2 linked regions of the Oryzias latipes genome follow. The protein of the gene in region 2 interacts with the protein of the main gene of each other region in a pairwise test. Links are inferred from orthologs where the notes say so. Each region holds a gene or a part of one and is shown on either strand. Other genes may lie near its edges.

Region 1 (2,779 bases), on a different chromosome or scaffold from region 2:
CTGCAGTAACAATGTTATTAACCCTTGTGCTATCTTAGATGACCCCACCCTTACATTGACGTGTTCTCCCTACCATGACAAAGGTGGATAAAGGTGGAAAGATTTCATGTAATCCATGGACACCAGTGAAGATCACAAATCATTGAAGAAAAAGGTTCAGAGCACTGTCTAGTGGGTCTAGATGACCCAACTCCCAATGGTAAAGTGCCTAGGATAGCACAAGTGTTACAATATCTTAAGACTACAGTCGCATACCCCAATGTGCCACCACGCTGCCAGCTTAACGTCAAGTTTTTGCTGATGCCTTCTCATCGGGTGGTGGCGGTTGCATCTGTGACTACAGCATTAGGGAGAATTGTGAAAATCTGCACCACCATTGACTCCAGCCTCATCCACTCATCTCTGCACACTGTAGTTCAGTGGATATTTTTCCTGCAGCAAGTCTCTGCAAGGGGCCGCCATGTTGCCCCACATGGCCTTGCTCCCCGTCAGCGATGTGAAAGTCATTACCTAAAAGCACAGACACTCAAAGGCAACCTTTTTTATTATTTATTGGCTTTAAATTAGGTGGCAGCGATGCCTCTGTGTACACCAGTCTGAAGAGGAAAGCTGACAGATGCTCAGCGGGACTGTAGGATCGTCGTCTCCTCACTCCATGCTGTTTTTGGTTTGGGAGAACATCAAGACTTCTACATGAAATAGTATAAATACAAGGCAAAACTGATGGAGAAAACGGGAGGATTGGAGTGCAGGACATTTTCAATGTTTTAAAAAGACAAGATTTAATTTAAAAAAAAGGAAACGTTAATACAGTCAATAAAGAATAATCTCCACAAACTCTTCATATTTGTTTTAATTCGTGTGCAAAAGAAGCTTCGTTTCGGCATTACATCCCGTTTCTTGAGCTCAACTCTGCTGCCATGAGCCCCAGAGGAGGCTGGACCTTTGCTTCTGCTGCCGCTCTGAAGACGCCAGACCGCAAAAGTCCAGGCGGTATGGATGGGATCCTGCTAACGGAACAAGCGGGATGCGTTCCAGGCATGGTGCCTGCTTTCCTGCACATCCTCATAGGCGCTGTGAGACATTTCCTTCTGAGACGTCCAGCAGCTGTGGAAGCGGTCAAACAAAAACTCCTGACGGGCTGCTGGGAGCAAAGCTGAGCATTATGGTAATCAGCAGGTTAGTGCAGCTCTTTAACCTGGTTGGTAAGTCTGTCTGGAGGGGGCTCACAGGTGAAGGCCAACCTGACAAATGACATGGAGTTGGAGCTCCTTCTGTGCCACAACTAAAGAACTAGCAAAACTACAACGTGACTTTACTCATCCTCTAGCTTTCTGATGTAATCTGTGCCCCATTTCAGAATAAAACCTGCACCTTCAGCCAAGGTTTGCATCAGCTTTTCAAAATAAGAACTCAAATCCGTGGGAAAGAACAGGAGGAAACTGAAGTGGGACTGTGGGACAGCAGACGGACGCACCTGTCCTCTGAGGTCTGGAGCGAGTTTTTCTGATAACTTCGGATTCTCAATAGGCCTGTAATAAAACACAGCTAAGAGGTGAGTGTTTGCCTGGGGCATTTGAACTGCACACCCCAACAAAAATCTGTCCACCCAACACGGGAGGATTTGCCACTGCCCCACCCCCTCCCTTCCTCCTTAGCATCCAAAGGTCTCCTGGGAGGCGTAGACCATGTAAAGGAAGCCGTCCTCGTCCCTCTCCTGCTCGTAGATCTCAGAGATGGGGGTGGACACGGACACCATGCTGTGCTGGTTGACCAGCAAGAAGGCGGCCTGAGTGGGGTTCAGCTGGAGCCGACGCCTGGGGTGGGGGCGAGATCGTAAGGCAAAAACATCTTTTCAGTCAATGGCTGTGTTTTTATTGACTAGGAAATTGCAGAAATTGGATTTGTGATAAATTTGTCTAATGGAAACAGGACAATTTAATAAAAAACTCACATTTTTTGGAAAAAGATTTTGCGCTCGGAGGAGGCGGTTTTTGAGGCAGATTGAAATTGAGATATTTTGCAAAACTGTAATGGAAACTTTTTTCCGAATTACTTGACCCACAACCGGATGGCAATGCGCCTCTTGGTGGGTAGTGGCGGCCTTGGACACTGCACAGCGGGCGCCACAAGAGGTCCCACAGCGTCACACAGCTCATCAAAAGTTGAGCGCGTCATGTGGAGTTTTTGGATCCACATCTCTAAAATCACCACCCACCATTTCCAAAAATGGCTTCATTTGTAGCCGCTCCTACGTTTAAGGAGCTCGCCGCTCCAAAGTCTGAATAAGACGCCAACGTCTCCTTTGATAGAGATGATGATGAGCGCTAGTGCCGTGGCAGAAATCTGAACGTATCTGCTGTAAATCAAAGCATTGTTCACATTCATCACCACATTTTTGAATAACTTATCGTGAGTTGGTTTGTAATTTTTCACGTAATCAGAGTTTAATAGAAACAGTGTAATTGCCAATTTTTTTCTTCTAGAATTTCAATAAAGTTTTGTGCATATGTGTCATGGAAACTTGGCTACAGATTGGTTGGTCTGCTGTTTTATCTCCAGTTACCTGGAGATTCAGGTGAGCAAATGCTGTGCATCATGGTTAATATGAAGTGATATTTATGCCACCACATTGCAAACAAAACGTTCTAAGTTGCAAAAAAAATATGAAATATTTGTTTTCAAAAAATAATTTTGAATTTACAGCACAAATGTTTTCACATGCGTTGTCTCATCTCGCTTTTTTCCTTATGACTTTGCTCTCATAAGTTTCAGTTTA
Region 2 (3,721 bases):
AAAGACTCGATGGTATGCTGCCAGAGGAGCCAGGAGGATGACCAACACTGCCAACGAGGGAGGAGGAAAGTCATGACACTTATGGTGATATTTAAGTGTTTTGCTTTTGTTTTTTCTATAAAATCAATGAAGATCTACAAACATGTTGGGTTTGAGAATACAGACAGGCGGACAGCTGTGGACTGGCCCGCCCTCTGCAGTCTAACACCAGCTCCAGGTTAGGAGATTAACCTGCTGTCCGCCTGACCTCTTTAGATTCCTGTCCTCTCCTCCTCCTCCTCCTCCTCCTCTTCCTCCTCCCTGTTTTAATCACTTCGTAGGCCAAACCTTGTGTCGGGGCCCCACAGATCTGGTTTCACTCATATATTTTTCATTTGGCATAAAATGAGTTTCCTGCCAACAGTGTAGCAGCAGGGCGTGACCGGTAGTTAGGACCGGTAAAACTGCTCGGACTCACATGCAGCGTAGGACAGTACCAATCCAGAAATGTAGCACCCAACCACGGCCAAACAGGTGAACAACCCGCAGGTCAGAACGCAGAACTGCTCCAGAGAAGAACACAGAGATAGAAGTCACTGCCTGCACAGCACGTCACCCATGTAATATTCATTGAGGGAATGCAGGTGGATCAACTGAAGCAGTTCACATGAATAAGAGGATTAAATACATGGTGCTGGGCGGTAATCCTTACATTGCCAGGGTTTCGTTGTTTGAATTGAACCATGAAGCACATGAGAACTGATCCGCTGACCCAGGCCTCTGCCAGGTGATGGCAAAGCTCTGGTACACTTAGGATGCCGGGCTGCACCAAGGCCCAGCTGCGGAAACAGACATGTTGGACTGAAGCACTTTAGCGAACAATGAATGCTGCAGAAGAAATAACAGAAACACACCTTTCATTTTCAGATTCATCCAGTTTTCTGACTGTAAAGAGCAAAGAAACAAAGCGTTACAACTGAGAGGTATGAAGACACGTGGATTAGAAAGATTCCAAAGTTCCCCAAACTGTAGTTTGGTCATTTTCTTTCTTTATCGTTTGCCGATTGATGTTCCACTCGCGCATTTAGTAAACATAGATTTTAACAAGCATAAAAAAAGGACATTCTGAATATAAAGAACCACAATTTGAAGAGAAAAACACACCTCTAATCCTTGGCCAGATTTTATTCCTCCAGGTGTCAAAAGACACAAGGACAGCAAGCGAAGAGGCCAGGATGAACAGCAGACGCATCGATGTAAAGGCAAAAAACCTGGAACCGGAAGCATGCAAATAACAGCGCTTTAGCTGCCTGTTTCCTTAAGACTATGCAAAGAATTAAATCAAATTTAAAGAAGAAAAAAAAAGCGCACAATTCAATTAATGGTAAAAAAAAAAAAAAAGGAGTGATCATTGGTTAGGAGGGGTTTCCCATAAATAAAGTTTTGAATCAACGACAAAACCACTGAAAGAACTAGTTGTTAAGCTACAAAACAGAAAAAACTGCTCTTTGTTTTTGGCTGAGTAAGACTGCCTGGGATCTAAACACGAGTCTCTGTTGCTCTAATTTCAGATCTCAGGTTTTCACAGAATTGTTGGCAACAACAATGCTGCAGGATTCTGCCAATCCTCAGATTAATCCCATTAAGACGTTTCTGGTCAACAACTATTAGCCTTTTGTTGTTTTTTGAGCATATTTTTTGGGAAGGAAACCCCTTTTTGTTTTTAAAGAAACATGGTTACTTTTATTATTCCAATGTAGAATCCAAACACTCATCATTTAAGAGATTCATTTTCAACGTGGTCGAAGATATATTTAGTATGGAGTACATGATAAAAAACAAAAATAATAGAAATGATGTGTCAAAAACGTGTTCATAAACAAGATTTTTCCAGAGATTTCTGATTAAACAAGAATGAACACTAACAGACCCCAAACTTGTGCCAGATCTGCACACTTTAACCCTGATATTTGACATTTAAAATGTTAAGCTACTGCTCAAATCTTGGATTTAACCTTTTGATTTTTAAGTTAGCAATTCACAACATCCATATTTCAACAGAATAGAGTCTAGGTTACAGTTCTCAAGCCTGTCTGTTGCAAAACACATCCTTTGTGAAAAATACTGGACTAATATCTCAAATCAAACAAGTTTTGGAGCTATTGAACCACCTGTTTGATGTTTTACTGACAATTGCAACACTTTTACTGTCATCTACTTGCTTTGCTGTCATTTTCACCTGTTTTAAAGTTTATCTTACAGGAAAATGATCACAAACAAATTTCTAAAAAAGTGTATTTATTTGTCAAACTCACCAGAACGCCGTGTTTACAGCAAGAAAGAACAGGGCGCTGTGAAGTGGTCTCTCCCACACCAGGAGAGACTGCAGGTAGGTCAGAACGGGCTCGTAGGGCCCCAGTTTGGACTGAAGTTCTGCTTTCACGACCCGAACTCGGGCGTCTCTTTCGCTGGAGAATGGTCGACTTCGAAGGCAATTGCTTGAACTCTGAGACGCGGGACGATCGTCCATAGGGGCGCTTTCCATCGCTCCAGAGTACGCCATCAAACTGTGTCTGCTGTGGAACACTGTCAGTCTGTAAAAGAGAGAATTAAGCTGAGTGGAAACCGGTAAACAGCTTGATGAGGGGCTCCGCCGGTGACAGAAGAACACAAGCTAACGGCTATCAGTGCTAACAGTGAGCGACCACAACTCCGCACTGATGTTAATGTTACAACATTTCTCTTACAGCGTTAAAAACAACATTATACAAGGTCTAAAAATAAAGTTTCAGAGAAACCTGACACTAATTATAAAATATATATCTAAAATACATTTTGTGGTCGCTTCGGAAAATGTCAACATGGCGTATCTATTCCCAGCGTCGATTGATCCAATCAGATTTCAGGAAAGCAGTTGCGTCACAGTGCGTTCAGGTACAAAAGTGCAGACTAACTTCCCAGGCTGGGGCAAAACCTCAAGCATATTTTCGTATGTTTAAATGAACTGTAAAGCTCATTTATTTAAAAAAATATATATATATTTTTTCTTATTACAATCATTTATACTTGTCTTTTTTTAATTACTTTTATGATAAGCAGAGCAGACTTGCTACAAATGTATATGGGACTTTCTACAATTCATTAAAACTCTGGAATAAACGATTCATTGGGTTTGTTTTTAATCTCTTCTTATATGACATATTTTTTTTCCTCAATCCTTGTAAAATAAGCCTCTTTATACTTATGTATGTTTATGCATGTCAAAAAAGATTACTGAAACTAATTTGTGTATCTGTCTATGCTGTTTTGTTGGACCAAAAACCTATGACGATTTATTATTACTATTGATGGTAGTAGTAAGGTTTGCTTGGTCAAGAAACACATATCATGTCAATGAAAAAATATTGTAAAATACTGTTAAAAAACTTAGTGCCTATATGGGTTTACTAAACTTTGTTTGAATTAATTAAACTTGTGGTCACTTTGTGGCACAAAATATAACGTGCTTATCGATTTGACGAGAAAAATCAAACCGGAAAAAATGCATGGCCCCAAAAAGATTATAACCAAAATGGTATAAATTGTTTTTAAAGAACAAATTCGAAAGAGAAGATTACCATCTTTAAAAAAAATGTATTGTACTCCAACACACTAGGGGGCAGCACCGAGCGTGAACATTGTCCCATGAACATCCGTAGAAGAATTCAGCACGCCAGTTAGCGGGAACGAGCGGGTTGTTGTT

The links.
Region 1: the proteins of retreg3 (region 2) and map1lc3a interact in binary tests that used the Homo sapiens proteins (3 or more experiments, as listed by UniProt). The link is inferred for Oryzias latipes from reciprocal best matches to the Homo sapiens genes RETREG3 and MAP1LC3A.

The regions. Positions count from the first base shown.
Region 1 is NC_019863.2:5,864,622-5,867,400, reverse strand, and holds the end of map1lc3a (microtubule-associated proteins 1A/1B light chain 3A), read right to left. Parts: intron 1,818-2,779; coding exon 1,655-1,817; 3' UTR 535-1,654; downstream 1-534. UniProt on the Homo sapiens protein: Ubiquitin-like modifier involved in formation of autophagosomal vacuoles (autophagosomes). While LC3s are involved in elongation of the phagophore membrane, the GABARAP/GATE-16 subfamily is essential for a later stage in autophagosome maturation.
Region 2 is NC_019866.2:6,743,991-6,747,711, reverse strand, and holds the start of retreg3 (reticulophagy regulator 3), read right to left. Parts: upstream 2,894-3,721; 5' UTR 2,812-2,893; exon of another isoform or gene 2,574-2,811; 5' UTR 2,543-2,573; coding exon 2,295-2,542; intron 1,251-2,294; coding exon 1,144-1,250; intron 925-1,143; coding exon 894-924; intron 819-893; coding exon 692-818; intron 543-691; coding exon 458-542; intron 48-457; coding exon 1-47. UniProt on the Homo sapiens protein: Endoplasmic reticulum (ER)-anchored autophagy regulator which exists in an inactive state under basal conditions but is activated following cellular stress.